3 linked regions of the Alligator mississippiensis genome follow. The protein of the gene in region 2 purifies or fractionates together with the protein of the main gene of each other region. This does not show direct contact. Links are inferred from orthologs where the notes say so. Each region holds a gene or a part of one and is shown on either strand. Other genes may lie near its edges.

Region 1 (10,502 bases), on a different chromosome or scaffold from region 2:
TGCATGCAGTGAATGCACACATGCACAGAGTGCATGAGTGTGCACACACACCCGTGCATGCATGCAGAAGGCGTGCGTGTGCGCACGCACACACACACACACACACACACACACACACACACACACACAGTGTGTGTACACACAGGGCATGTGCTCACCCATGCACAAACAAAGCACACACACATACAGTGCTTACCTGCACTCTCCCCACCACTCTCTCTCACCCCCCCCTCCCCAAACCTCAGGCCCTCTAATAAGCGGGTTCAGGGCAATCACCTCATTAGCAACCAAGGCAACTCAGCTTCTAGAGCCTCCCCATCCTCCCACACCCCTGGGGCCAGAACTGCAGAACCCAGGAGTCTGGGCCCCTACCCAAAACTCCATGGGCCCCTCACCCATCTGCCCAGCTGCCACACCTCTGGCTGCCACCATGCAACCCGCTTCTGGGGTGCATGAGCTGCCACAACTGGCACAGAGGCTGGGGGGGGTCTAGCACCAGCTGGGAGCTCAAGGTTGTCCAATGCCCCCCCAGATCCCCAAGGCACCTGTGCCCACAACCAACCCAGCTGGGGGGGAAGGGGAGGGGCGGGAGGGGGGGGGCAGTAATCCCAGCAAAAATGGCTGGCAGCCAGGCCTCTAAACTGGGATTAGGCCTGGACCAGAGAAAATCCTCATGTAGACAGCAGATGCAGGGTCACATGTGGGGTGAGCTGGCCAGAGGGGAGGAGCAGTGAAGACCCCCCTCCCCAGGCCAGCTGGTGCCCCCAGGTGGAGCTGGTAGATGACCCCACCAGGAGGAGATCAGCCTTGATTCTCCCAGGTCTCCTCCCTGTGCGGGTCAGGGCCAGCCAGGCTGCAGCCACCCCCAGGCTTCCTCCTCTGGCTGATGGGGACCCTTAACTGGGGGTCTTGCAGGGCATTGCACTGACTGCCCCCTCTGCAAGGCAAGGCAAAGCCCCCTGCCTCCACCCCCATAGGCACTAAGGAACCCATCAAGCCCCTCTGCTCTACTTCCTGTTCCAAACTGCTATGGGAGCCCTGCCAGGCTGGGGCGGATGCCCCCCCCACACCCCCCTAGCCACCCAGACGCCCATAATTACAGCTTAAGTCACACTAACTGTGGGGCTATTCATAGCAAGTGAGCTCACCATGGGCAGAACCACGCCAGCTGCCACCCCCTCCCCTTTTTGTGCCCCCCACAGCCAGGTATGCTCTGGTCCTTGCAGTTGGGAAGAGGGAAACTGAGGCCAGAAAGGGACATCCCCCAGCTGCTCTGGGGTGGAGGCTGCTGCCCGGCTGTGCCCGCACCATGGGGGGGGGGGGGCCTGAGGGGTGGTGCTCCCAGGTGCCTGCCAGGACCTTTGGACCTGGCTGCTCTCACAAGCATGTTGCCTGGAGTGGGCAAGTGTAGACCTGAGCCAGTAGAACAGCATATCCCTGAAACAAGCCAGCCTCAACCTGACCCCAACCAGCAGGGAAACACCCTGGGGAGAGAACCCTGAAATCTGGGCATGGCTGGCACCCATGGCTTCCTTGGGGAGGGGTGGGGGGGGTGTCAGTCCAGGGATTGGGTTAGGCCAGGGCCACGCCACATCATGTAGCCTGCACAGGCTGGGGCATCACTGACCCCCAGCAAGTTTGGGCTAAGAACCTGCTCCCACCCCACAGCCCACAGGGTGCCCACCCCAGGCTCAGATCAAAGCACAGCAACTGTCTGGTTAGGGGGGAAAATCAGTTGTGTTGTCAGCCCCCCCCAAAATTAACCCCCTAACAGCTCCCTGCCCCCCACCCCCTCTAGCTCCTTTTACTTCCGGGGTGAGGGAAGTCAGTCCTATCTCTCCTCGCTGCACTTTCACTTTCGGGTGTGCTAGGGCATGCAGGAGAGGCTGAGGCATGGACCCTCAGGGGGCTGGACCCAGGCCTGGCTGGAGCCGAAGGATGGGCCGGAGTGGGGTAGACCTTGCCCAGGGAGATTCCCCCCTCCCAGCCCAGGAATCGACAGGTGCACCCAGCAGAGACACTCGGGGGTCTAAGGAGCCGGAGCCAGAGCTGCCCCGGCCCTGGGCAGGTACCAGGTCCCTGCCTCATTAGAGCCCCAGCAGGGAGTTGGGGCCTGCCCAGGAGTTGCCAGGCATCTAGAGGGAGGACAATCCCCGGCTGGCCAGAGTCCAGTTACCCCAGGCCCGGCCAGACTAGTCCAGACAGATGCGCTTTATCGTAGACCAGGCCAGGCCCAGGGTAGCTCAGAACAGGCCTGCCCTAGTTATCCGATTCCAGCAACACCAGTTACCCCAGGCTGGGCCACAGTCAGCTTAAGCTCAGGCCAGACCAGACGCTGGTAACCCAGACCAGGCCTGACCCCAGTGACCCCAGGCCAGGACACCCCCCCCCCCACAAACCCTCTGCCTGCCCGCCTGCCTGCCCTGGCACGGTGTGGCACCCTTACCCTTCTTGAACTCCTCCAGCATGGCGTCGAGCTTGGTGTCGTGGAAGACGAAGTGCACGGGGTGGTTGTAGAACTTGGCGATGGTCTTGAGCGGTGTGCTGTCGTCAGGGTCCACGAAGGCCAGGTCCTTGACATAGAGGATGTCCACAATGTTGGAGCGCTCATCCTCGTAGACGGGGATGCGGGTGTAGCCACTCTCCATGATCTCTGACATGGTGTTGAAGTCCAGCACAGCCTCAGCGGGGATCATGAAGCAGTCATGCAGTGGCGTCATGACGTCCTCCACCGTCTTGGTGCGCAGCTCCAGGGCCCCCTGGATCATGTTCAGCTCCTCTTTCACCAGGTCGTTGTAGGGCTCTGTCACCTTCAGCATCTCCACCAGCTTCTCCCGGTTGTAGACGGTGCCGATCTCCTGGCCCAGCAAGCAGTCCAGCACTTTGCTGATGGGGTAGGAGAGTGGGAAGGTGAGCAGCATGAAGAACTTGGTGAGGACGACAGTGTTGGCACCCACGGCCAGGCCGTGCCGCGAGCACAGGGCCTGCGGCACTATCTCGCCGAAGATGACGATGCCCACGGTGGAGGCAGCCACAGCGCCCAGCCCGGAGCCGATGAGGTCCTCCAGCAGGATGGTGAGGGTGGTGTTGACCAGCACGTTGCCCAGAAGCAGCGAGCACAGCAGGTAGTTGCCGTGGCGGCGGATGGGCTCGATGCGGCGGGCGTGGCGGCGCTCTGTCTCTGTGCCGCAGTTCTGCACGATGCGCAGCTCCATGGGGTCCAGCGCCATCAGGCCCAGGTTGAGCCCACTGAACATGCCCGACAGTGCCAGCAGTGCCGCCAGCAGCGCTGCCTGCAGCCACGTGGGCAGCAGAGACCGCTTCTCCTCCACCACCACCAGGCGGCCCTCGGCGCCCGCATGGCGCTGCCACGGCTGCCCAGGTGCGGCCCGCGTGCACAGCACGTAGGCCTTGGCCCGCTCCCGCTTGCGCAGCGCCCGCACCCGCAGGCGCAGCACGGCCGAGGCCTCGCCCGCATCCCAGGTGCCCCGCTCCACCTCCACGTCGGGCGAGGGTGCGGCGCACGTGGCGTTGGCGGCCCCCGAGGCGTTGGCGCTGCCCGGCGCCTCGGCGAAGGCCACCAGCTCCCAGGTGTGCGCGGGCAGCCCCAGGCCGAAGAGGCGCAGCGCCACGTGGCTGCCCTCGCCCACCTGCACGCCCGCCGCCAGGCCCGGGGCCTGCGCCTCCGGCTCCAGCCGCATGCCCACCACGCGCGGCGGCCCCGCGGCGCCCAGCCCCGCCGCGCCCGCCGCCCGGCCCAGCAGCGCCAGCGCCAGCAGCCCCAGCGCCAGCCCCAGCGCGGCGCCCCGCGCCCGCCCCCGCGACCCCCGCCGCGGCGCGCCCGGCGCCATCTTCCGCCGCCGCCAACTGCCCGCCCGGCCCGGCCCCGCCCCCCCGGCCCGGCCCCGCCCCGCCCCCTCAGGGCCGCCGCCGAGAAAGGGGCGGGAAGAGCCGCCGGGGCGGCAGCCCTGATGCGGGGGGCGGAGCTGAGTCGCGGCCGGAGGCGCTGTTGTTTGGAGGCGGCGGATCGATCCGCGGCAGGGGGCCGGGGCCGGGGCCGGGGCCGGGGGGGAAGGAGCGGCCGGGCCGCCCCGCTGTACCGGTGCCGTACCCGGAATGGTGTTGCCGTGGCAACAGAGCAGGCGGCCCCGAGGAGCCGTGGCGGCGCTGGGCCATTGCCCCCGCCTCAACCCTGCTGTCACAGGCAGCACCCCCTGCCCGGTACCCCGGAGAGGGGGTGGGGGGGTGGGGAGCGGGTTGCCCAGCAACCAGTACCATGGCGTGGCTAAGCAGCCATCACCGGGGTTACCTGGCAACTGTTACCACGTCAACGCAAAGCCACCATCACCCGGGCATCCCCACCAGCCCGCTACTCCCGTCGCCAGGCGACCACAGCCCTGACACCACGGCACCCGTCACCATGCCACCAGGACCAGGGGTCGCCTAGCAACTGCGACCCTACCGCTGCTCAGCAACTGACACCAGGGTCACCGGCAACCTGCCATGTCAAACCTAAGCCGCCCTCTCCAATGGCAAAAGGCAGGTGGGGGGGTCACTCGGCAACCATCACCACGCCGTCCGTTGTTAGGCAACCACCCCCTCACATCAGGGTTGCCCGGCAACTGTTTCTCTGTCGCCACCCGCCGCCGGCTCCCGAGGGGGGGGAGGGGACTCGAGCTCTTTAAGACGGGCCGGCCGAGACAGGAAGTGCCTATCCGCACTCCATTCCCCGGCATGCCCCGCGGCAGCGCCCCTCCCCTCCTAGCGTGGGGATGGCGGGCCCCCCGCCAATGGCCGTGCACCGCTCTGGTGGGGGGGCGGAGTCCCGCGGCTGAGGGGCAATGACGGCGGAGGCCGGGCGCCCCGGCGACCAATGAGCGCGCGGGGCGGGGCCGCGGGCAAGATGGCGGCGGAGGGCCGGCTGCGGTGTGTGGGGCTGCGCCTGGCCCCAGCCCCTGCCCTGCCGCTGCTACTGGCGACGCTGGTGCTGGCGCGGGCCGAGCAGACCGAGGAGCACTTCAAGCGCGAGCACTCGCTCACCAAGCCATACCAGGGTGGGGGCGGGGCGGGGCTTAGGACCCCCCCCAGGGAGAACGGGGGGCTTGGGGGCGGGGCTTGAGATGACGGGGTGGAGCTTAGGGGATCCCAGGTTGGAACTGAGGGTAAAGGGGCGGGGCTTGCGGCCCCCAAGCGAGAACTGAGGGTGTGGGGGCGGGCCTTTGTTTCCCAGGGGCGGAGCTGAGGGCACTTGGGGGGCAGCTAGATGGTCACAGGGTGGGGGCTGAGCCCGCAGTGCTGGGGGAAGCCAGGCACTGCCCCCCAGGCCACAGTGGGTGCAGATGCTTCCCTCCCTGCCCCCAGGCGTGGGCTCATCCAGCTCCGCGCTCTGGGACCTGCTGGGCAACGCCATGGTCATGACCCAGTTCATCCGCCTGACGCCTGACCAGCAGAGCCGGCAGGGCGCCGTCTGGAACCGCGTGGTGAGTGCTGCAGCGCGGGATGAAGGGGCTGGCTGTCAGCTCTAGCCTGGACTCGGGCCGGTATGCAGAGCAGGGAGGAATAGGACCCCCCCCCCCTTCACTTTCCCTTTGTTTCCTTGATCTAATGGACTCCCTGCTCCTAATGAGCTTCGCTGGGGGATAATTGCTTTGTGAGGAAACCAGACACTGGGGTGTAAAGGTGCTGGCTGCATGGCCGTGATGCCCAAGGGACCTGCCTTGGAGCCAGGGAGCATTGGGCCTGTGGTATCCACATGCCCCTGACCATGCCTATGCTCTCCACTTCACAGCCCTGCTACCTGCGGGACTGGGAGATGCAGGTCCACTTCAAGATCCATGGCCAGGGCAAGAAGAACCTCAACGGCGATGGGTTCGCCCTCTGGTACACCAAGGACCGCATGCAGACAGGTGCTAGCCCAGGGAGTGGCTTTGAGGAAGGTGGTGGCGAAACATGGGGAGACAATTGTAGACTCACAAGAAAAGTGGGGCGGGAAGGGACCGGCAGAGGTCACAGCTGGGCCAACCCCCTGCCTGAGGCAGCCCCGTCCAAACCTTCCCAGACATGTCCATCATCTAAACTCTCCGCAAAATAATCATCAGCCCTGGTGCCACACCAGACATCGGTCCTGACCCTGCTGCAGGGAAAACAGGGGGACCAGGGCAGCCACCGTCTTGTAAAAGGTGGTTAACAGATGATAAATGATCCCAGGCAGAAGCCATGCCCCCGCTACAGAGGAAGGCAAAGCCCTCCCAGTCTGTACCAGTCTGAGCAGGGGAGACCCCAATGCAGCATTAGTCTGAGCCTGAGCAGACAGCAAGACTCTCCAGCCAGGAACCCCCAGGGTTGAGTCCCAGCAGGAGCATTGCCACAGCCCAGTCCCCATTCCCAGCCTGGGCTGCAGCCAGCACCCAGTACCTCTGGGGAAGGTTTAAACCCGCCCTGTCTGCTGCTACGTGGGGCAGGGAGGACAACCAGCAAAGCCCAGAAGCCCCATAGCAGAACACAGGCATTGCCATGCCTAGATCATCCCAGCCCAGCAGCTGTCTGACTTCTCCTTGAATCTCTCCAGTGATGGAGAGTCCACTGCTTCCCTCGACTCTGCAGCTTTGGACCCCCTGTGGCTACTCTGTGCTCTGGATGCTCAGAGCACTGACAGGAGTTGGTGGGGTTATGTGCCTCCAGGGTACAGCTTCTCTCTTAAGCAGTACAGGTTGGGTCACTGACCTCAGCCACGTGGTCTGACTGGCCTTTGAATGCTACCACTGCCGAGTGGAGGCTTCTCTGCGTGTCAGGTGGATGAACTGGGTTGTGGCTCCTGATGGGGCTCGTGACTTGGTTTACCCTCGGGGTGTGACTTCAGGGCCCTGTCCAGAACGACATAGGGTGGCAGATGGCTGACAATCTCTCTCTCCCTCCCCCCTCGTGCAGGACCCGTCTTCGGGAGCAAGGATAACTTCCTGGGGCTGGGCGTGTTTGTGGACACATATCCCAATGAGGAGAAGCAGCAGGAGGTGAGGGGCACTGGGAGGCCACCTGGCTGGCTTATGGCTTTTGGCACCTGTGGGGCCCTCTGCCTCTCTCCTGAGTTTCTCTCTCCCATTGCCTCCTCTGATGCTTTGTCCATGCGTGGTGGCCATCTATGGCCCCTTCTATGTTCAGAGCAAGAGCAACAGACATAGACATGGCTGCCAGCTGGGGGAGAAGAGAGAGTGAGTGCTGACCCCTTGAGGGCAGGGGATACTGCCAGGCTGGGAAGAGGGAAGTGGTAGAGCCCGCTTTGCAGTACAGAGCCCTCAACTCTGGAGGCACATCCTGGACTCCCACTGCCTGTGCCAGCACCTCGGATCTCCTCCTGGGCCTCTGAATCCCATCATGCGCTGAGCTCTGCTCTAGCATGGGCCTGTCCTCTAGTCTGGATCTCTCTGGGGCATCAGTAGGGAAGGGAATCCATGAGCTAAGGGGCATCTTTCTGGCTGCTTTTTGCCCCAAACAAAGGTATCACTTGGTTCCAGGAAGGCCCTTGTCCAGGAGTGTGTGGCAGGATCCCTTGTCTCTCTGTGACCTGGGGTCTGGCTGCCTCTGACCTCAGCGCACAGATCAGCAACTCTGGAGAACTGGGAACCCTTCTCCTAGCCCAGCCTGAGTCTGATCCAGCCTTTCAGGTTCCTGCCTGGCTCCACAGACTGGAAGGGACCCCCAAGGAAGCGTGGCCAGGGTCTTGGGGCTAGGGCAGCTTTCCTTGGCTCTGCATTTCCTGAGATGGCCTCTCTTGGAGGGTCTGAGATTTGTGACTGTCTCGCTTCTGTACCTCTTTTGCTTTGCACTCCCCCTGGGGACTCAGGCTCAGAAGAGGCGCTATACCCCTGGAAATCAGGTACCCACTCACGGGGGGGCAGCTGCCAGGGCTATACCAGTGCTCAGCCTCTCCTGCATGCGACTGTGGCTTCCCTGATTTTCGTGGTTGGAGGGGGGAGTTTGCAGCACCTTCCCTTGGCCATCTGGTGGAGGGGAGAGACTGCAGCCCATGGCTGGTGATGTACAGACCTAGAGGCTGCCATGGCCTGCATATCCCTGCAGCCAGGCTTCCCCAGATCTCACACCAGGCCAAGTGTGCTATGGGGGCTCTCAGCAGCATGCATCTGGGGCAGGTGGCCATAAACAGAGCTGAGGGGCATCTCCTGGGGGGTTCTGTTTAGCTGGTGGGAGGCTACAGCCATGATAGCCACAGCTTCCAGCCTAGCTGCCTCAGCTCAGAGCTGTGCCCAGAAGCCCTGCTCCCTGCAACTAGCAGTGAAGTGCGAGTGATTGCTCAGGTCTCCTCTCCTCCCACTGCAGCGTGTGTTCCCCTACATCTCTGCCATGGTGAATAATGGGTCCCTGAGCTATGACCACGACCACGATGGACGCCCCACAGAGCTGGGTGGCTGCACCGCCATGGTGCGCAACCTGGACCATGACACCTTCCTTGTCATCCGCTACGTCAAGCGACGCCTCACAGTGAGCATGGGGCGGGGGGGCAGCAGCAGTCTAAGGTGGGATGCGTGGCATGACCCAACCTGAGAGCTGGTTTTTCCATTTGTCCTCCAGGTCATGATAGACATCGACGGAAAGCACGAGTGGCGAGACTGTGTTGACGTACCGGGTGTGCGCTTGCCACGAGGCTACTATTTCGGCACCTCCTCTGTCACCGGGGACCTCTCAGGTATCGGATCCCCTGTCCCCAGTGCCAGGCTCCACAGGGATGAGGTGCTCTGGGATCAAAGGCCCCCCTTCCTAGCAGCCCAGCAGGCTGTTACGCAATGCCGTGGCACCTGGTGCTTACTGGAGCCCAAGATGTTTCCACCAGAGCAAGGTGGAGTCGGCCTGCAAGAGCCCCTTGGGTGCCTGGGTCCCTCACACATGGCTTCCCTGTGCCTGGGGGCCTGCCTACAGCTTGGTACAGTGCCCACATGCCCTCCTGTGCCCACAGATAACCACGACATTATTTCACTGAAGCTCTACCAGCTCACAGTGGAGCGCACGCCCGAAGAGGAGAAGTGGGACCGTGAGGTCTTCCTGCCTGTCGTGGACAACATGAAGCTCCCTGGCTGTGAGTGAGGGAAGGAGGCTGCAGCCATGTGCCCAGCACCAGGGGCTTAGGGCCCAGCCAAGCCTCTCTGCAGGGCTGGCATGGGCTCTCAAGGATTGGGGGGGGGGGCGCGGCGGCAGGCTCATGCCATCACCTGCCTCTTGCAGTGGACGTGCCACTGGAGCCCATGAGCGGCCTGGCCCTCTTCCTCATCGTCTTCTTCTCCCTGGTGGCCGCTGTCTTTGCTGTTGTCATTGGCATCATAGTCTACAACAAGTGGCAGGAGCAGAGCCGCAAGCACTTCTACTGAGCTGTGGCTGGCATAGGGGCTTAAGTGCTGCCAGCGCACCTCTAGCCCCTGCACCAGAATCCCAATGCTCCTGGGTCTCTGCCTTGTGCCTGGAGCTGCTGCTTCCCCTGTCCCTGAGCGCCTGCCATCAGTGCCTCGAACTTTAGCCCTAGGTCTAGGACATGGCCAGGGCCCTCACAGTCGCACCAAGACCACCCCACCACCCTGGGTGCCAGGCCCAGCTCTGTGAACTACTGGGACCGATATGCTGCTGTCTGGGGGAGCTGCCTTGGCCTCCCGCCTTTGGGCACTGCTGCCAGAGCCTCAAGCTGCCCCCAAAGCCTGGCTCAGCAGCTCCTGCCTCAGTCAGAGTGCCGAGGGGAACAACGGGTGATGCTACCTCAAGGCCTGGAGGGTCAGAGTCTGAATGGATGGAGACTCTCATCATGGCCCCAGCTGCTGGAGAAGGGCCTGCTATCAGGGTGAGGGTGGGGAGCTGCCCCCACGTACATCCATGTGGCCTCCACTGTTCATAGCCTTTATGAGGTGGTGGCGGGGGAATGACACAGCAGGGCAATAGTGCAGCCCTCCTGGCATCTGGCCTCTGGGGGGGCTTGGGAGTAAACCAACCAGTGCCCCACTCACCTGCCTCAGTCTGGCTTTGTTAAGCGCCCATGCTCACCATGTGGGTGACGGAAACACCGCCAGACCCTAGCTCCCAGTGGGCAAGGACACTAGGGTTAGGTTAATCCAGCAGGTTTGGGGCTGTTGTGCCAGGCCCAGTCCCATGTCTCACGGATGCAGCACCCACCTCCACATCTCTTGCCCATGGAGGTGACAGGTGGAGACTTGCCACGTCAGTCCCACCTCCCGCCTGGCATTCCCTAAATGTCCGGAAACAAGTTACCCTGGCTCCAGGATACCAACACACATGACATACAGTGTCCACGTTGGGCCTTTATAGAGGCTTGGGTGGCTGCTGCAACAATCCCGAAGGCAGTTCTAGGCTCCCATCAGCCAGGGCTGAGCATGGCAAGGGACAGGAGGCACTGCCGCCACTACAAGGACATCAGTGCTGGCCACTGCTCCCCAGCACTGGTTTGAGGCTGCCGAAGGAGTGGGTGCTCTGGAAGGGGTTGATGAGCT
Region 2 (10,479 bases):
TTATTTGCTGCCAAAGCCCCAAGTGGCCTGTCCAACCTGAGACAGAAATCAAGTGACGACTACCATGAGTCCTTTTTCAGCCAGTGTGCTGACTGCATGGTTGTTATAACCATTACAGTTAGAGCTCCTTGTTCCTCTCTGCACCCCTCCCCAATTCCATATAAGACCTGGCTTTTGGTTGCCTACAGTAGGACCTGCCTTGAAATCTAGGTAATTGTGGTAAATAAGATCCTTAGCTAGATGGAAACTAGTACTGTACAGTTCTGCCTCCACTATTCTTTCTGCACAGGATTTTTCCAGTATTTTCCAAATGAAGCTTAGAACCTGACCTTTCTTTCCTTTTCTAAAATTCTTTTCTTCTGCCCCAGGTACAGAAGTTTCTCATTCTTCCCTTCACCAATGATCCAGGCCTAGTTCCTAGTCTCCATGGGGTAATAGTTGCCTCTTGTTGTATTCTAACTCTTTTATTTGTGTTACCAATATCCTTAGTCTCAATCTTATTTTTGGAGAGGCAAGTGGATCAAGATTTTTTTTAATCTCCTGGTTCTTCTCCCTTTAGTCTCTCTGATCATTTGAAGCAATTGTCATAAAATACAGCTTTGAGTTCCTTTCCTCTGTTTCCATCCTAAAACTCCTCTGGTTTAGCTTCTACTATTTTTACATCACACACCTGTTCCCAAATTCATTAGCAGTGTGCTTAGCTACTAAATCTTGGAACCAGAACTTCATCCTCATCTTCCTTGTCTTGCAGGGTGCCTGAGACACAGTTGAGCCTACTCATGACTTCTCATTCTCCCCCACATGCTTAATGGTGCTCAGCATGTCCTTAGGAAAATCTTCAACACCCTCTTCTAGCTATATGGGACTCCCACAAAGCTCTGCTGTCAGCCCATTTTCCATCACATGTAAACACAGTTATCTCCCTGCATGTGAGTCTAGGTCTGGAGTACGCGGGTAGATCCATTTTGCCTTGGACATCTCACAGATGCAGTTTGACTTGAGGGATATATAGCTAAATCATATGAATTCAATTGTATGAATCTATGTAAAGACAAAACTCCTAGTTTACTCCCTTTTCCATGGGAAATGGAAAACCTGGATCCCTGAGCCTAGCGAAAAAGAGGTTGCAGTAAAATTCCATCTCTCTGCATCCAGTTCAAGAATATTGCTCAGGCTTTTGTAATTTGTTGTTTCTCTTGTACTTCAAATAAATCCAGTCCTTTATTTGCATTGCGTCCCTAGATCATCCTTTTCAGTAATAGCAAACTAACTGCTTACTCTCAAAGTCTTTTGTGGCATATTCTCACTTAACTTGTTGGTTATCTGTTAGTATTGAATGGGAAGAGGTAGTTTGCAGAAGGCAGGATAGATGTACACCTTACAGACCAGGGGTGTCCAACCTTTTGAATGTGGGGCCAGATCATGAACTTTTTATCACCCAGTGGGCTGGCGAACCATATTCAAAGACCTCCCAGGAAGCGGTATCACATCTTCCCCCCCCCCCCCCCAAACGAAACTACAGTGTTTACTTTCATTTCCCATCGCAGCACCTCGGGCCTCAGAAAACACCTTGGAGGGCCGCATGTTGGACAAGCCTGTTATAGACTGACTAAATCAGATATTACAAGCTTTCTTAAGTAGCTGCTTACTTCATGAAATGAAGGGACTGCAAGAAGTAGAGCTTCTGAATAGACAGCTGTGATTAGTATACAGAAGGTAGGCAAAAGAAGGGATCACTGTTGGGAGAGGTGGATGGGAGAGAGGAAAAACAAATTAGTTAACCCAGGGACATAGGGGCTAAAGAAATTCAAGTAATGGGATAAGAATCCTGTAGTTTTGATTTAGATTAGGGAAGTCCCTAGTGGCAGCCCATGGGCTGCATATAGATCAGGGGCGGGCAGTTATTTCAGGCGGAGGGCTGCTTACTGGGTTTTAGTAAGATGTTGAAGGCTGCATTTCCCTCTCCAGTCCAGGGAAGCAGGAACAGCCCCACAGTCCCAGGCACCTGCCTCTGCTAGGCAGGGGCTTCTGGTTGGGGGGCTGGGGCTGGGCAGGCCATGCTGCTGGGTCCTGCTGCCAGCTTTCCCGGGGTACTACTGCCCCTGGCTCCTGTCATCTTTGACAGGCAGCCAGGAGCAAATAAATATTAATTTTCTAAAAATTTTAGGGGCCCCGTGGGCCAGATCGAATGGCCTGGTGGGCCAGATCCAGCCCCCAAGCTGTATTTTGCACACTCCTGATATAGATAGACCTCAGAGGATCAGCTTTGGGGACTTAAACTTCTCTGCATGGTTGTCGTTGCTCCCACCCTGCTGCTGTTCCTGCTGCAGCATCTGAGTTCTTTTGGTGATCCCACCTTCATCTTGCTGTTTTCTTACACTGGCTCCTGTAGCAGGAGGGGGCAAGGGTGCTGTTGTTGCATGCATGGTGGGGCCAGCTGCTTCTGCTGCATGTGAGATGGGTCCTTACAGTGGGTGCTCCCCCCCAGCTGCCCAGAAGTTGGACTGCTCTGGTTAGATTATACTTAATACAATCCAGTCTGTGGGTGTCTTGTTGTTGTTCAGTGACTTTTTTTTTTTTCCATTCAAGCTTTTTAAAGTTTTGCTTGAGAATAACTACTCTGAGGTCATAGCTAGAATGTCCAAGGAGGTTAAAATGTTGATGGGGGTCACTTCATTTTTGATCAGACAGAGCTACCAATCTGCAATATACATTTGTTATCTTTCTGAGCAAACTCCTCTAACCTTTATACTTTCTCCTGAGGCTTCTCTGCTAATGGAAATAAAATAGTAGTTTTAGCAAATAAGGGTTTAGTATCTGACTGGCAAATGGATAGTGATACTGACAAAACACTAACTGGTGTTGCACTTGTTCAGTATCCTATTCACAAGAGTGAACCTTCTAATCATGTCAGTTTATGCTTTAGGAAGGTTGGTGAGTCGCTTCAGAAGCAGAGACTGGCGTTCCTGGGAGAAAACACGCATTTTGTGGAAAAGTGGTGTAGATGGAGTGAAACTTCTCCCTGTTATCTCTTCGCATATGCTATAGTCTCAAATCTAAAGAGGGGTGCTAAAAACGGACTTTTTTTTGTTTTACAGTGGTAACACTTAATTTTATTCAGCAGTTGTAATTTATTAAACGTAGCACTTTTCTAGAACTTTTTAGAATCTTAATTCAGTCTTGATTTACTAGAAGAGCATCAGAAAACAATCACTTAGGCTATATTTCTTGAGATTAGTGCAAATTATATTTATTTCATCTCCAATATCTGCAGCATTCCTCTTACTGTTTAAAAGGACCAGCCACATAGTCACAGTGGCCATTGTTGCATCAGGGAAACTGGGTGAAGGCCAAGAAATAAAGCTATGTTCAAGTTGGGTGGAACCTCACATTTTTATATTAACTGTAAATATGTAATTTGAAACTCTTGAGAACCATCCAAGGCAACACTAAAATCCCTGTTTTTACCTCATGCCCAACTGTGTGGAGGTGGATAGACTCCCTGGACTTTGATGCAGACCTCTTCCTATGTCTCCTTGCCAGAGGATGTTTTTAGTCCTTTGCATAGTAGGTGACTAGCATTGCATGCATGTTTACCCACTTCCCTGATCATAGTTCCCTATAAGTAGAACAGGGACTTCAGAATGTTACAGTGTTCATTTTGAGCATAAAATGGCTCCTTGTAGCATGAGGTATCACAATAAATCAAGTTTATAATGATTTCTTTAATGATTATTCTTATCGCTCAAGTATCTGTATCTGCATGTAAATGCTTAGAATTTCCTCAAAGCAACTTGTGATAGACTTACCAGCAATGCCTATACAGTGCAGTACCTTCATTTTTGCAACATAAAGCAGATCTAGTAAGCAGGAATAATGTTTTTATTTTATATGGGTCAGGTGGCTTAAGTAAAAAAAAAACCAAACCCCCCCCCCCCCCAAAAACCTGAATAATTACAAAATGGGGAATCAACAAAACAATTTAAATGGGAACTAGAATATTAACGTAAGCCAGAGTATCTCCTAAGCAGTAGACCTGTTGCATATTTTCACTACTAAACAATCAATATGCTTTAAAATAAGAAGGCTTTTTATTAAAAATAACTTGGCAGTAAAGAATGTGTGGGTGGCTAGACTAATAATATTTGTTAGAGCCAGGCATGTGGTGTGCAAGATTCCCCACAATGCTGACAGTGTACATCTATTATAGTGTGTGAAATTCTTGTTTCAGTTTTAGGTCTCTCCTGAGCAGATGAATTTAGTTAACTCTGTTCACGTCTTTGAAGTAGAAATAATTGATTCTACTTTTTAAATTAAGAGGTTAGAGTAAATTAGATTAAAGAGGCATTTTTTCCTTTTAGCAATTTATTCCATTTCTTGAAGACATTGCTACCAGTTAATGTTTTTAGTATACTTGAATTCCAAATACCCATTCAGAACAGGATGGACTTAGAGCGGTTAGGAAAACACCCTCTGAGCATGAAATGATCCTTGTATGGAAAACAAGTGTCATAGTATCTGTGCTTAGAGGGCAAGGCAGAGGTGTGTGAATTCTACTTAGAGAATGAAAGTTGTGTTTAAAACATGCTGCAGATATTGGAGATGAAATAAATATAATTTGCACTAATTTCAAGAAATATAGCCTAAGTGATTGTTTTCTGATGCTCTTCTAGTAAATTGAGACTGAATTAAGATTCTAAAAAGTTCTAGAAAAGTGCTACATTTAAAAAAATTACAATTGCTGAATAAAAGTTCTGTTAGAAATATTTTGGTCTTGCAACTCTTAAAATATTGTACAGGTACTCCTCACTTAACGACCGAGTTCCGTTCCTGCGACTCGGTCGTTAAGCGAATTGGTTGATAAGCGAGGAGCCGGGCTGCGAGCGCGGGAGCTGTCCGCCCAGCGGTGCTGAACCTGCGGTGCGCCGTTTCCACAATACAGGTACTCCTCACTTAACAACCTCCTGCTTGGAGTACTGACTGCTCGGAGAGCTGGTCGTAAGTCTACGCGGTCGTTAAATAGGTAGGTCGTTAAGTGAGGAGTACCTGTATTGCTAAAACAAAAATAGCATTTCTGAGTAAAAGTAAGCACTGATACCTGGAAATAAAATACTAAAGTCTGAATAGGCAGAAAACAAAATTCTAATATGATACCTTAAATTGGTGGTCTCCCACCTTTTTAAGGTGAAGATCACTTTGAAGTAAAGGACAATCTAGGATTTACCATGCCCTCACCCCCCCACTGCCCAGTAGGTCAGTCTGGGGGGTGGAAGCAGATCGAGGCCCCCATGGCTAGGGGTGAGTGGGACCCTGGCCAGACCAGGAGAGGGTCAGAGCCTGGGTGGCTCAGCTGGGGCGGGCGGGGGGAGGCTGCCACTGTTGGGGTGCGTGCAGTGGCGGGAGCTTCCCTGCATGCCTGGACAAGCCACCTGGGCTCCAACCCACCCCTGGCCCAGCCAGGGTCCCACTCACCCAGTGGTAGGAGATGCAGTGGGGGGTATTTTCCCAGTTGCCCGGCCCTGGTGGCAGGGGGCACAGCTCAGCCCAGCCACGTGCATCCTACCGCTCCTGCGTCCCAGCCATTCCCGATTGCAGAGCCTCTGACAGTTGATCTCAGTCTGAGGGGGCTTTGACTGTCAGGGGCTGACTGGTTGGTGACCACTGCCTGAAATTATATTAGATTTGTAAACATACATAAGGGGTGTATAAGTACATAAAGGGTGTGCATCAGGACCTGGGAGAATGTCTGTTCACCTGAGCGCCCCAAGGAAAAACAAGGACCAACAGTCTCAAACTCCTCCAAGACTGTTTTAGACTGGACATAAGAAAAAAAATTCTTTACTATCTGAGCCCCCAAGACCTGGAATAGACTCCCTCCAGAAGTGGTGCAAGCACCTACTCTGGACTCATTCAAGAAATGCTTGGATGCTTACCTTGCTGGGATCCTTTGGCCCTAGCTGACTTCCTGCCCCTGCGGCAGGGGGCTGGACTTGATGATCTTTGAGGTCCCTTCCAGCCCTAAAGTCTATGAAATCTACGCTGTATGCATTTTCGTTTTACTTTTTAGTAAGCGTTAATATTTTGAGCTAAGTTGTACATATACTTGGGAACAGTAGCTGAAGTAACTTTTTTTTTTTCTCTCCCTTCTTTACAGCAGTTCTGTGGTGTTCTTGGTCACACATTTATGGAGTTTCTGAAGGGCAGTGGAGACTACTGCCAGGCACAGCACGACCTCTATGCAGACAAGTGAACTGTAGAAATTCATTACTACTCCACCAAGAAGCCCCCCTAAGAGTGATTAACCAGGATAAGAAGTGTTGAATTGAAATTGGCAGCGCATTTTACAAAGGAGTTCAGACCTGGATGGGGTAAACCTCAGTGCACTGCCTTTCTTTTGCCTCAGTATTACTGGATTGAAGAATTGCTGCTTCTTGTTAGGACGTTCATTTCATTTCCCATTGCTCCCAACTTCATACTTCCAAGCACTGAGAATTTCAAGTGGAGTATAGTGAAGTAGACTTCAGTTTCTCTACATCATTTCTGTATTAGAATTTTTTAATCCTTTCATAATCTTGTTGCATGTTTTTTAACTAAATTAATATGGCCCGAATGAACCGCCCAGCTCCTGTGGAAATCACCTACAAGAACATGAGATTCCTTATCACACACAATCCAACCAATGCAACCTTAAACAAATTTATCGAGGTAAGGTCTGGACGAAATGCTTTTTTTTTTTTTTTAATTTTATTTAATACAATGCTTTTAAAACCTAGAACAGTATGTGTTTTAATAATATATTTACTAATGGGATTCAGTTCTTAAGTGCTCTTCCTGTTGACTCAGGATTTGGGTCATAGTGATTCTCGCAAGCAGTGAGACATGTTTTACAGAATTACTGTACTCATGAAAATCATTCCTCTATCAAATTGCATCAGTATATTTATTTTTTAATGAACCATAAGCATGATCATAACGGTACTATTACTGATCAACAGGTACAGGGCAGAAAGAGAATATGTAATCTAATTAAAACAACAGAACATTGACAGGATCACAGTTAACTTGCATTTATTAGGTTTTGTTAATTAATGATCGCTCAATTCTTTAGTTCTGTCATGTCTTCAGCAGCTGATTTTTACTACCGTTAATCCATAAAGATGGGGAGAGGAAAGGGCAATATATTAAGACTATCTGGTACTAATTAGATGTGACTGCAAGTATTTATTAGGTATGCAGAAGTTGTCTAAATAAAGCTAGTTTGGCCATCAGCTGTAGCAGTGGAGCTACAGTAGTTTTAGAATTCATGTGACATACACAGACGTATCTGGGACTCCAACTACGTTCATGCTGGCTGAAATCTGGCTTGGCACAAGTTCACATTTGGTACTGGAGCCATTTTAAGCCAAAATTAACTTTGAGGCGTCTAAATCTGTTGCAGTAGCATTTTTGAATAGCCTTGTAAACATGGCCTGAGATCTACTTTTGACATTTGGGTTTCCCATAGAAGCTTTCCTTTGTGCTCTTGTAGAGGAAACAAGAAAACATCCCAAAGAATCACTACACAGCAGTGGTTCCCAACCTTTTTAGACCATGGAGGGCAAGTGACTGTGGACTAGCAAACTGAAGTGACCGGCATACTGCGGAACAGCAGCCAACCCTTTTTTATTCTCAGTATAAATAAACAAAAGGTTGGCTGCCCATCTGCAGTATGCCGGTCACTTCTGGACTTCCAGTCCAGCAGCCAAACCTTTGTGGCCCGGTACCAGGCTATGGCCAGGGGTTAGAAACTTTTACTACACACCATACAGTGTGTGTCACTCGTGCCTTGCTTCAAAAGACTAATAATAATTACTATGGATTGAGTCAGACTTGTGTAGTAGGTTTTAGATATGCAAATAAGGCAATCTTACTGCAGTGTGGTAGAGTGATTGTTTAAACTAGCCAGCTTGAGTGCTGGTAGCAGTCTAGTCATGGTAGCACATAGTGTGCTGAAGCAGAGTAAATCTAGCTTGCGATGTATTTTGTGCTGCCTCAGCTGAACTGGTGTTACTCAGGCTTGGTATAGGCCAAGAGTCAGCATCGTCTTGCTGTCACAAGCCACTGCTTGCAACCCAGCTCCTGCCACAGGCTGCAAATCTCTACAACTCTGTCTGGTAATTAGTGGATGCTTAGGACAGAATGAGGCAGCCAGTAGGACTGTGGGGACACCTCTGCTTCCCTAGCTGCAGAATGCTGCCAATTCCCTGAGTTGCCACAAGCAGTAGGTTGCTAACCCCTGATGTAGACAGTCTTGTTTTGATCCTTTGCACAGGATGCTTTTGGCTGAAGAATATAAATCCCAGATCCCAAGAGTTCCTATTCATGTATTCTAATAGAGAGAGAAAGAGAGTGCCATCCTGCCTAGCTTGTGCCATAATAAGTAGATAAAGCTCTTATGCTCTTGCCTCACAAAATCATAAGAACAAGTTCTGAATAAAAATAAAGACACCCTTTACCAATTAAAGGGTTGGATGAGTCTCTGGATTGGGCTCACAGACCTGCCTCCCACATGCCAGGTCCAATGCATGTGGCACTCGCTCTTGGCTGGTCCAGTACTATGCTGTGCATAGGGACAGAATAGGCCATGGAACAGATCCTGAGTCCCGGGCTTTATGCACTGGAATGAGCTGGGGAATGTCACATGATGTGAGTTAACTCAAAAGATGCAGGGACAGCATGGTCCAAATGTGACCTGTATGCCTTATCTTTGACACCCCTCAATTAAAGCTAAGACATCCCTTCGTCTTCCGTTCCAGACACTGACTATTATGGGGGGCTAGTTAGGATTTTTCTTGAGTTTCATTTTTGTAGTGAGTGGTGCTCAAGATCCCTGTCCTGATAAGAGCCTAAATGTTAAGCTTGCCTTATTTGCAGAACACAAATATAAGACGTGACCAGCAGTAAACTGGGCAATTATACCATGTTATATAATTGCACAGGCTAGTAATGTATGCAGCTTGTCTGTTCCAAAATGCTTTAGGGTATTTTTAAAAGTAAAAATACTTACAGAATCATAATGGCAGTGATGCATTACATCTCTATTTCCATTACACTTCCAGGGGAAAAAATGTGATTTAGCATAGCTCCTAACGTGCCACACGGAATAAATAAACACAACAATGTTAAGATCCTTGTAGTAATTTGGAAGTATTCAGTGAAAAATCCTGCTAACTTGATGATCAAGTAAACTATTTTGGCAGGAGGCTCTTTGAAAGGTACAAAAAAGTAGATGACCATTTTCTTTTGCTAAAATACAGTTTGTTGTGCTCTTTTTAGAGTCATGCTTAAAGGTCCCTATCAACATTATGCCAAATGCTGATAGTTTACCTCTTGGGGATTGAGCCCCAAAATCTTTGTGCTTCCCGGGCCTCCGCTGGGGTGCATGCATCAGCAGGAGCCCTCCCCATGTGTTTGGACAAGCTACCCAGGCTTTGATCCTCCCCTGGACCAGCCAGGGCCTCATTCACCCTGTGGCAGGGGACATGGTGCGTATAGGTGGAGGAAAGGGGTGGCTAACAGGGCTTAGCTCCCATTCCTCCAGTGCAGGGTAGCAGTAGGGCTGCAAGGCAGCCCGGCTGCAGGATTCTAGTGGCTGCAGCAAGAGTAGGGAGGGGTGGCATTCGCAGCAGTGAAAGAGGGAATGAGGCAGGGGGAAGGCCCTGCACAACTGGGGCACACGCAGGACAGAGCCACAAGCGGCTTGTCCAGGGGGCTCAGGGAGGGGAGGCATGCAGCCTGGCAAGGCATGGGGGGCGTATGCCCCCAGATCTACACACGGGGCAAAGCGGGCTGGACCCAGGGCAGTGCCAGGCTCTTCCTGGTACAGCTCTTCAGTTGCACAGCTCTTGAGCCGGGCAGTGGCAGCGCTGGGAGCAGGGCTGCAGGCACCTGAAAATTTGCTGTAGCCCCCCACCGCCTGCTCCCAGTGCTGCAACTGCCAGCACCGCTGCCACCCAGCCCAAGCGCCGCACAACCAATGAATCATGCTGGGAAGAGCCTGGCTTGGCCCGGGCCCACGTGCAAATCTGGGGTCATGTGCCCCCTGTGGCCTCCATACAAGCTGTTCGTGGCTCCATCCTGCACCTGCCCTGCCTATGCAGGGCTTGTCCCTGCTCATTCCCTCACTCACCGCTGTGGTGGAGGGCAGATTGAGGGAGAGAGCAGGGCACAAGTAGGAGCGGGGGCTGGGGAAGTGGGGGTCAAGCGGAGGCCAGAGGGACAATGTGCCTTCCAGGCCTCCACTTGCCCTACCACTGGGCCCAGCCAGACCCACTCCACCCAGCCCCTACTTCTGCCTGTTCCCTGCTCCCTCCCTCACTGCTGGGCCCTCAGTCTGCCCCCACCACCCCCAGTCCTTTTCACCCACAGACTTACCTGTTGGGTGGGGTGAGTCCCCAAATAATTTTTTTCCCCTCTGCTTCAATCTGCCCCCTCCATCTC
Region 3 (10,084 bases), on a different chromosome or scaffold from region 2:
ATGGACGAGGAGGAGCTGCAGCAGGCAAGGCCCTGGTTAAAAGGGAGACTGCTTACCCTTCAACTAGGCACACGAGGTGAAAGTTAGTAGTGACACCCCTTAAGGACCAGTCTAGGGGCTCACTTTAATATTGTGAGACTCGGGAACAAGAAGCTGGAATGTGCTAATGAAAACTGCCGACGATGATGCCTCCCAACATTGAGACAATATGGAGGAGGAGCAGTGTCTTGCGCAGGAAGAAAGGCACGATCTTGAGGCCTGGAGTAAAAGAAGTGGGTAGAAACCTAATTGTACAAATGCAACATTGAGCCCTTGGGGCCTGGTACGAACGTTTGCTCTGAGCTAGGAGCCCCTGGATGAGATGCAACTGAGAGGAGAGACTAGAGGGTCGCAGGATGACTGACCCGCCAGCATGACGTGGTCTGGAAGAGGCAAAGGCAGCTCTCCGAGTTGGGCAAGAACTCCCAGGAGAGAAGGGGAAGGCCGTAACGCCATTTCCCAAGGCACTGATTTAAGCAGGAAGCTGCGTACACCCGTCTTCCCAAAACAACTCATTCAAACCCAAGCAGGCGCTGAGAAGTGCGACTAGCTAGGCTGTCCTTTCCTCTGGCCTGTCTTACGAAGGAAGGGAAGGGGAAAAGCAAGCCAGGATTTCCCCGGCTATTGTAAGTTGTAACCCTATGGTTTCAATCTGCTGCCTACAAATACAGGGAGGGGTAACCAGCCGGGAGGGAGAAGAATGATTTAAGCTGAAGGACAGTGTTAGCCCAAGAGCAAATGAATATAAATGGGCTGGAAACCAGAAGAAAGTGTCTAACCATTAGAGTGGTGATGTTGGAAATGGAAAGGGCAGCCAAAAGGAGCAGGGGCCTGGAGCAGCCGCTGTACCAGGAGAGGCTGGGGCTCTTCAGTTTGGAAAGGAGTAGAGGTCTGTAAAATCATGAAGGGTGCGAACGAGTGAACAGCAACCTGTCATTCACCGAGTCCCACAGTGCTAGAACAAGGCGGCATCTGCTGCAATGAGTAGGTGACAGGCTTAAAACTAACAAGAGAAAGTACTTTTTTATGCAACGCGTCATTAACTCGTGACATTCATTGCCCCAGGAGCGGTGGAGCCAGAGAGCACGGCCAGGTTCAGCAAGGCCTGGATAAACTTGGGGAGGATCGATCTGTTAATGGCTATTGAACCGGACCCTCGGAGCTGTTTCCTCTGGCATCTCTAAGCCAACGATGACTGATGCCAGGGAGGGTGCTGAACTGGGGGATAGATCACTGTAGATCTAATCTGGGTCTGCTCCCCTATGTGGCAACCATTTTTGCTGCTGTCAGATGGGATACGGGGCTAGATGGACCACTGGTCTGACCCAGTCTGGCACTGCTGATGCTCTTGAGAATAGCAGGGTCAAAAACCCAAACAGGCTTTAAGCTAGATCTGGCTAAGGTTTGCCGGCAGGAGACCGGACCCTGAGCCAGGGGGAGGGTTTGGATGCTCTGCAGAGGAGGGAGGGTTTGGATGCTTTGCACAAGCAGCATCCACATAGCACAAGACTCGGGTTTGCAGAGTCTGGGGCCAAGATGCCAAATTGCTGCAGGCGCATTGTTGAGATCGGTGCGTGAGTGCAAGCCGTCTCCCCCTGCGCACTGGCAGGGAACGGGTGCGGGGAGCAGGGACCCAACCAGCTTCTCACGTGACTGCAGGGAAGACGGGGGCACGGAGGGAGGCTGCTGGTTCCCATCTCTTACGGTTACGTAATGCAGCGTGTTGCTGCTGTAGTCGTTTCTGAAGAAAAAAGCTCCCTGACAGCATCAAGCACCATTTGGGGGGGGGATGAGGTGCAGCCGGTGGTGACAGCTCCAGGCTTGGAGGAACAAGGGTTTAGGAGCACAGTTCTCCCAGCAGCTCTGCTGCAGCCCAGCCTCTAAATCAGCAGGCAGCTCCTGCCAGCACAGAGAAGGCCACGGCAGCAGCAGAAGGCCCAGCTCTCCCCAAGCCTCTCTCTGAGTCACTTGCACACTAATTCTTTGCAGCTTTGCACACTCTTCACCCCTGGCTGCCCTGCTCGCTCACCTCCGCAGGAACAGCACGGCACACGTGCACCCTGGGCCACGCTGAGCTGAACTGCTGCCAGCCCCCGGCCTGCTCCCACCTGCCCAGGAAGCAAGGGCAGCAGGACCGAGCTGCCTGCGGGCCGAGGCCCCAGCAGCTGGCACCACAAGCCCCGTCCTGTGCTTGGGGACCCCTGTAACTGGATTTTTGAGAGGGGCCCAGTGGCCGGTCCTGGTACGTGCCTGCTCCTGGACGTGACACTCCTGTAGTGCAGCCCCAAAAAGGCCCTAAGCGACCCGAGGGGAAACGGGTCCCAACCCCACGTGAGCTGCCCTGGCGTCCACCCCAGGCACAGACTGCTGAGGCTGCCTCCGCTCCGGGGAGCCAGGAGCAAGGGACTGGGCCAAGGCCACCGAGCGAGACAGCGATGCAGGCAGGGTGAGGGCTGGGCCTGCCCCCTGCAGACCACTGCCCCGGCTCCTTCCCAAGGCCATGCAGTGTCCACCCTGCCCCGGGGCTCAAGGGGACGGCGTTAACGATGCACGCGCAGCCCTCACGCTCCCCCGGGGACTACGAGCGGGGGGCCTTGCTGGGGCCACCCGCTCCACCTGCCGTTCCCCAGGGCCCGCGCCCGACTCACCCTTCTTGAACTCCTCGAGCAGCGTGTCCAGGCGGGTGTCGCTGAAGACGCAGTGCAGCGGGCGGTGGTAGAAGCGGGTGATGGTGCGCAGCGGCGTGCAGTCGTCGGGGTCCACGAAGGCCAGGTCCTTGACGAAGAGCAGGTCCACGATGTTGTCGCGCCGCTCGCCCTCGTAGACGGGGATGCGCGTGTAGCCCGAGCGCAGGATCTCGGACACGGTGGCGAAGTCCAGCACGGCGTCGGCCCGCAGCATGAAGCAGTCGGCCAGCGGCGTGAGCACGTCCTGCACCACCTTGGTGCGCAGCTCCAGCGCGCCCTGCACCATGGCCAGCTCCTCGCCCACCAGGTCGTGCGGCCCGGCGGCGCGCAGCGTCTCGAGCAGGCGCTCGCGCGTGGAGCAGGTGCTGAGCTCGCGGCGCAGCGCCCAGTCCAGCAGCCGGCCCAGCGGGTAGCAGAGCGGCGCGGCCGCCGCCAGCAGCAGGCGCGTGAGGCAGAGCGTGCGGGCCGCCACCGCCAGCCCGTGGCGCGAGCACACGGAGTAGGGCAGCACCTCGCCGCCCAGCACCACGGCGGCGGTGCAGAGCAGCACGGGCAGCCAGGGCACGCCGGCGCCCCCCGCGCCCCCCGCGTCCCCCGGCAGCGCGGCGCACAGCCAGCCCGCCAGCGCCGCGTTGGCGCCCGCCTGGCCCAGCAGCAGCGTGCACAGCAGGTCCGTGCCGCCGCGGCCGCGCACCGCCTGCACGCGCCGCGCCTGCTCGCGCTCCGCCGCCGAGCCGCTGTTGCGCAGCACGCGCAGCTCCAGCGGGTCGAGCGCCAGCAGCGCCAGGCGCAGCCCGCCGAAGAGCGCCGACAGCGCCAGCAGCGCCAGCGCCACCAGCGCCACCAGCCAGCCGCCCGCCGGCAGCGGCACCCGCCAGCCCCGCGCCGCGCCCCGCGCCCGCACGCGCAGCAGGAACCCGCCGGCGCCGTGGTGCCGCCAGGCGCGCCCGTCCCAGGCGCACAGCGAGAAGAGGCGCCCGGCCGGCCCCGCCGCCTTGCCCTTGCGCGGCTCCCGCACGCGCACGTCGGCCAGCGCCGAGCCGGCCGCGCCGCCGGGCCGCAGCGGGCCCAGCACCTCCACGTCGGAGGCGCGGGCGCGGGCGCCGTGCGGGCCGCAGCGCGCCGCGCCCGTGGGCGCCGCCGGCTCCTCCACGAAGACGAGGCGCGGCTCCGGCTCCAGGCTGGCGTTGCGCGGCTGGAAGTAGAGGCGCAGCACGAAGCGCGAGCCCTCGGCCGCCTGCACCGCGCCGCCCCGCAGCGACACGCGGCCCGGCGCCGTGTCCTCGGGCCGCAGCCCCAGCAGCCAGGCGGCGCCGGCCGGCGGCGACAGCAGCAGCAGCAGCACCGCGCCGCGGCCCCGGCCCCAGCCCGCCATCCCGCACCGCCCTCCCGCCGCGTGACACTGCGGCACGCAGGCCCGCCCGCCCCACGTGTGCGGGGGGAGGCGCGCGGGGCGGGCGGCTGCAGCAGGTGAGAGCCGCGCCCGGGCGCCCTCACCTCCGCGCCTGCCGGCTCGCTGCTCCTGCCCGCAGCTGCACGGATGCGGGGACAGGGCTTGCCTCCTTCCTCTGCTTTCATTGAAGCCAGAGTTGGCCAGAGCCGCCTCAGCGCCTCCCTTGGGGCTTTGATGGAGCCTTGTCAGAGCGGGCACCCCCCCAATTAGACCAGAGGCAACAGCAGGAGCTCCTGGGGAGGGTGGGTGAGAGCAAGAGACTTCTGCTTCTGACCCACAGCGTTGGGGCGCAGGCCTGCGGGTCGGCCGGCAGCGCTGTCCCTTTCCAGGCTGGCGGAGTGGCACAGGTCGCCTTAGCTCCCCGCTCCCTGCCTCTGTGCTGTAGCTGCAACTGGCCTGACCCTTGGGGCCGGCCTCTGTGTCTGGGCCCTGCTGCCCCATGGAGGTGGGGTGGCAGCGGGACAGCAGGGCGAGGATTTGAGTCTGCTGCACACTGGGTGTAGAGTAGACTGGATATGGGAAAACGTGGCGGTTAGAGCAGCGTCCCCAGGAAAGGGGTGGGCTCTGCCCATCACTGCAGCTGCTCAGGACGGGGCTGAGCAGGTTCTGCTCGGGGATGATCTAGGCGTAGCTATGCTGTCCTGTGGGGCTTTGCTGGTGGCTACCTGGGGCCGGGAGGGAATTTTTTCCCCTCCTGCTGTTACTTGTCAGGGGTTTTTAGGCCTTCTCTTGCAGCCCTGGCTGGGGCTGGGCTGTGCCAGTGCTCCTGCTGGCACCAACCCCGCAGGGTCCTGGCTGGAGGGTCTTGCCGCTGCGCTCATGGTCGGATCAGTGACCATCTCTGGGGTCAGGAAGGAATTTTACCCCGTGGTCAGATTGGCGTGGACTCTGGGGGGGGTTGCTTTCCTCTGTAGCTGGGGGCATGACCTCTTCTTGGGATCTCTCAAGCATATTTTGACACTCCCTGCAGTAGCAGGACACTTGGCCACCGTGTCCCCACTGCTTTCCCTGTGGCAGGGCCGGGGTCAGCGTGAGTGATGCCTGAGGCTGTGTCGTGTGGCTCTGAGGTTGGACATGGGGTTTGTCTGGGCTGGTTTGGACGGGGGTGCCCCTGCCTCAGGCAGAGGTTGGACTAGACGTGACCCTCGCAGGTCCCACCTCTCTGTGACTCCACAATTATTTTTGTGTTTATCTCTGTGATGCTGTTTCTGAGAAACCCAGCTTCCACTCCATTGCTCCTGCTCAGGAGGATGTGAAGCACATGGTGGTGGGGGATACAGCTTGCCAGTTTATACCTACAGCATTCAGATAACTCAAGTTCTGTCCTTCTTTCAGCCTTGGACTGCGCATTGCCTTAGTTTCCCCAATGCCTGGCTGAGAGAAAATACAGATGAGAACAAGCGGGGTGAATCTTGCATCAGATGAGGCTGAGTGATCTGGGACTTCCCGGCATGCCCATCACAGGTGTACGGGGTGAGGCTGGCAGTAGAAATGGCTGGGTGGTCTCTTTCTTATCAGGCTGGTAGTTTAGAAGAATTGGTGGAGATACGCCCTTGGGACAGCCTTTCCCTGCTACAGAGACTGCAAGTGCTGTTCATGCCTGGCTTTGGTTGTAGTGGAGCAGTGAGCTGTCTCTGGAGCTGCCCTTTCATCCCATTTGGAAATGACAGCTGGTGCAGACCGGGGCTCCCTGCTTGGGGGCATGAACTGCAGGGAGCATATTGCTCCCATCCTCTCAAGGCAGCCGGGGCTTCCTGGTTCATTCCAGGTGCACTTCAAAGCAGCAGCTATGATCTTTAAAACACTGCGTCCTTCAAGTTTTGGTGCGAAAGTGCGTGTCTCCCCGCAGCGTGCGGTTGAGGTTAGCAGAGGAGCTGCTGGTAACGGTGCTTGGCATGAACAGAGGAGTGTTGTCAGCGGGGGCCCTCACCTGTGTAGTGTGCCTTGTCTGCCAGTGTCTCCTCAGGGCTCGGAGACCTGGCTCATCTCCTTTCTCCGACTTTTCTTCCTATGGGGGAAGGGGGTCATTTTATTAAATGACATGGTCTTTCAGTGACTTTAGGAGACCAATGCAGCTCTTGGCAGCTGAAGCACATCACTGCATCTCAGCTGGGCCCTGGGGAGACAGGGTCGTTTTGAGAATCACAGAAAATGAGGGTTGAAGGGACCTCAGGAGGTCACGTCTAGCCCAGCCCCCTGCTCCAAGCAGGACCAGCCCCAGCTACATCATCCCAGTCAAGGCTTTGTCTACCCAGGTCTGAAACACCACCAAGGATGGAGAGTCCACAGCCTCTCTCAGTAACCTGTTGCAGTCCCTTACTACCCTTCTGGTGGGAGGGTTTTTCCCTAATATCCACCCTCAACTTCCCTTGCTGCAACTTGTGCCCATTGCTCCTTGTCCTGTCATCTAAGACCAGCCCAGCTCCATCCCCTTTGCAGCCCCCCTGCAGGGAGGTGAAGGCAGCTATTCAATCCCCCTCCGTCTCCTTTTCTCTAAACTAAACAAGCCCAGGTCCCTCAGCCTCTCCTCACCAGTCCCGTCCCCCAGCCCACAACCATTGTCGTTGCCCTCCGCTGGACTCTCGCCAACGTGTCCACATCCTTTCCATAGTGGGGCCCACAGCTGGACACAGGACTCCAGATGTGGCCTCCCCAGTGCTGAATAGAGGACAATAATCAATCACTGCCCTTCATCTGCTAGCCCTGCTCCTGCCCATGCAGCCCAGGATGCCAGTCGCCTTCCTGGCACCAAGGGCGCACTGCTGGCTCCTGTTCAGCTTCTTGTCCCCTGTCCCCCCAGGCCCTTTTCTGCAGAGCTGCTGCCCAGCCCGTCGCCCCAGCCTGCACCGGTGCAGGGGATCGCTCCCTCCTCAGTGCAGGACTTTGCACTCGTCCTTGTTGAACCTCCTGAGATTTCTTTTGGCCAGTCCTCCAGTGTGTCTCAGCCACTCTGAATGTTAGCCCTACCCTCCAGCATATCTACTACATCCCCCAGCTTGGTGTCATCTGCAGACTTGCTGAGGATGAACTCATCCCATTGTCTAGGTCGTTGATGAAGACATTGAACAAAACCAACCCCAGGGCTGACCCCAGGGCACTGCACTTGATGCCAGCTAGACATCAAGCCATTGCTTACTACCCTCTGAACCCATACAGTCCATTCATCCAACCTGTACTTCATTAGCTTGTTTGCGAGAATGTGGGAGACGGTATCAAAAGCCTTGCTAAAGTCAAGGGATATCCTGTCCACTGGTCTCCCCGCATCCACAGAGCCAATCATCTTGTCATAGAAGACAATCAGGTTGGTCAGGCATGACTTGCCCCTGGTGAGTCCATGCTGACTGCTCCAAATCACCTTAGAATCACAGACAAGGAGGGTTGAAGGGACCCCAGGAGGTCACATCCAGTCCAGGCCCCTACTCCAAGCAGGACCAACCCCAACTACACCATCCCAGCAAGGCTTTGTCTACCTGGGTCTCCAAGGATGGAGAGTCCACCACCTCTCTGGGTAACTTGTGCCAGTGCTTTACTGCCCTCATCGTGAGACAGTTTATCTGAATATCCACCCAATACCCACTCAGCATCTGAACAATATCCAGTCAAGGATGGCGACTCTGTGGCGGGCCAGTAAAGGGCGCTCCTGCGTTGAGCCGCCCACCTCCCCGCGCCCGACCACCGTCCAGGCTCCGAGTGCCTCCCTGGGGTGCCTCCCGTCCGGCCGACCCCTTCCCTGGAGCACACCTGCTAGCCTGGGGTCCCGCTGCCACCATCCAAGGCTCCGGACTCACTTCTGGCTCTGCGCGCCTTGGAGAACGCAGGCCTGATCGTCCAATGGGTCCTAGACCCAATACAAGCACTTGGGGCACTTCCCCAAGTCAGGGGCTTATTAGGAAAGTCTCCCTTAGTCCACCGACCTAAGGGGCCTCCTTGGCATAATTTAGACCCACCCCTCAATCAGTCTCCCACACCGGTCACAAAGGAGAACTTTATTGATGACAGGGGGTAGGGCGGAAACAGGGTAAAAGGTAGAGCAATATCATAGAAATCTTACAGGAATATCAAAGGAATCCCATTGAGCAAACCAGGGTGGCTGAGGTAGCCGTTTAAACGCATCTGAGTTACTGAAACTAAATATCTAATCGGATCTTGAGTAGCTTACTCACTCTCATCGTCCAGAGGTGGTTGTTGTATCCTCTGAAGGCAGGGCACTCTTGGAGCATGCGGTGATGAGGAGAGAGCCAGGCTCAGATTCACCTGGATGACCGCATGGCTAATGGCTGACTCCCTTCTTCTTGGACCAAGCCCTTAAATAACCTCTCTGACCTCCGCAGCCCGGTCCAGTCGAAGCTGCCAATACTGGCCACAAGCCGACCAATCTCCCCAGCATCCCTGGCTACCTGGGCCCGCGCAGGGCCGGGCCTTTCCCCCCTGCCCAGGTGACCAGAGCATCGCCTCCCAGGCGCCAGGCTTTTGTCATGTAGACCAGGTGGGAGATCCCCACCCTGAGGAATGAAACACCAGCCTCCCAGGCTGGCTGAGACAGGTCTCTGGAGAGGGGCACCAATGGTGGCATTTCTGCCACAGACTCCACCACTCTAGGTAACCCATTCCAGTGCTGCTCCACCCTCCTAGTGAGAGCATTTTTTCTAATATCCAACCTAAACCTCCCTGGCTACAACTTGAGACCCTCTCCTCCAGGTGTTCAGAAATGGATTCCCTGAGGACCTGCTCCATGATTTTTTCCAAGGACTGAGGTGAGGCTGTAGTTCCCTGGATCTTCCTCCTTCCCTTTCTTACAGACAGACACTATATTTGCTCTTTTCCAATGGTCCAAGACTTCTCCCACCCACCATGCGTTTTCAAAGACGATGGCCAGCGGCTCTGCAGTCTCATCAGTCAACTCCCTCAGCACCCTTGTGTGCTTCCCGTCCGGCCCCATGGACTTGCGCACGTCCAGCTTTCCCAAGCAGTCCCTAACCTGATCTCTCACCGCTGCGGGCTGCTCCCCCCTCCACGCTGCGCTGCGCTGCGCTGCCCGGCGCGGTCGGCTGGGAGCTGCCCTGGCCTGTGAAGACCGAGGTGAAAAAGGCCTTGAGCACTTCAGCCTTTTCTGCCTCCTCTGTCACTAGGTTGCCCCCTCCCCAGTCAGGAGGGGACCCGCACTGCCCCATCCTCCTCTTGTTGCTGACATACCTGTAGAAACCCTCCTCTTTACCCTTCTCATGAGAAGGTGTTGATCAGTTTGGGGGTGTAAGCTGAAGCCAGGTGGCGATCAGGAAGGGAGGTGCTAAGTTTTTTACTAACTCTTCACAGCCTTTCTTAGCGACATGTCTTTAAGGTCTTGGCTAAAATGAGACTTTTTCCCTGTTTTCTTGCTATTTTGGTTTTGCTGCTGAAATGATTGGTATAACCTACCCTGTCTGCCCCTTGGCTACAAACTACTATAACTACCTACCTATAATCTAGTGTAGATTAGGTGTGGGCATTTGTGCAACTATATCATCTAACCCCAAACCTATTGATTCTTGTCCCCAGACACCGACATACAATACAGTCTTGACATGTAGGGTGGAAGTCAGAAAACCAAGTCAGCTGCATACCGTTGTAACAAGCTACCTAACAGCACGCTTAGGCGGTCATCAAAAGGCAGTCCCAAGGGAACGAGATGTTCAGAGCTCTTTGCTGACTCTGCTCAGCGCTTGGGAGAAATGCCATAAATTGCAGTGTCCAGGCTGAGAGCTTTTCTCCAGCTTCCTCCACCTCCAGACTCAGGAGACACGCAGGCCTAAGCTACAATATGCCGGCTCTAGTCGTGGATCGCACACCTGGAGCTGGATGGGGAAAGGAGAGCAGCACTGTGCCACTGGGCATTCAGCGTCGTCTTTGTGGCTGTACATCTAATTTT

The links.
Region 1: the proteins of PTP4A1 (region 2) and CNNM4 purify together in Homo sapiens (affinity purification with mass spectrometry; 6 studies listed by BioGRID and IntAct, with this or other methods). This does not show direct contact. The link is inferred for Alligator mississippiensis from reciprocal best matches to the Homo sapiens genes PTP4A1 and CNNM4.
Region 3: the proteins of PTP4A1 (region 2) and CNNM1 purify together in Homo sapiens (affinity purification with mass spectrometry; 4 studies listed by BioGRID and IntAct, with this or other methods). This does not show direct contact. The link is inferred for Alligator mississippiensis from reciprocal best matches to the Homo sapiens genes PTP4A1 and CNNM1.

The regions. Positions count from the first base shown.
Region 1 is NC_081830.1:10,488,452-10,498,953, forward strand, and holds the start of CNNM4 (metal transporter CNNM4), read right to left. Parts: upstream 3,830-10,502; 5' UTR 3,702-3,829; coding exon 2,447-3,701; intron 1-2,446. Other genes in the region: LMAN2L (VIP36-like protein), read left to right, coding at 4,874-5,054, 5,362-5,480, 5,789-5,906, 6,928-7,010, 7,841-7,873, 8,335-8,496, 8,587-8,701, 8,969-9,088 and 1 more. UniProt on the Homo sapiens protein: Probable metal transporter. The interaction with the metal ion chaperone COX11 suggests that it may play a role in sensory neuron functions. May play a role in biomineralization and retinal function.
Region 2 is NC_081824.1:54,211,068-54,221,546, forward strand, and holds the start of PTP4A1 (protein tyrosine phosphatase type IVA 1), read left to right. Parts: upstream 1-6,598; 5' UTR 6,599-6,600; coding exon 6,601-6,705; intron 6,706-10,479. Other genes in the region: uncharacterized LOC128125822 homolog, read left to right, coding at 6,155-6,250. UniProt on the Homo sapiens protein: Protein tyrosine phosphatase which stimulates progression from G1 into S phase during mitosis. May play a role in the development and maintenance of differentiating epithelial tissues.
Region 3 is NC_081829.1:100,970,772-100,980,855, reverse strand, and holds the start of CNNM1 (metal transporter CNNM1), read right to left. Parts: upstream 4,102-10,084; coding exon 2,688-4,101; intron 1-2,687. UniProt on the Homo sapiens protein: Probable metal transporter.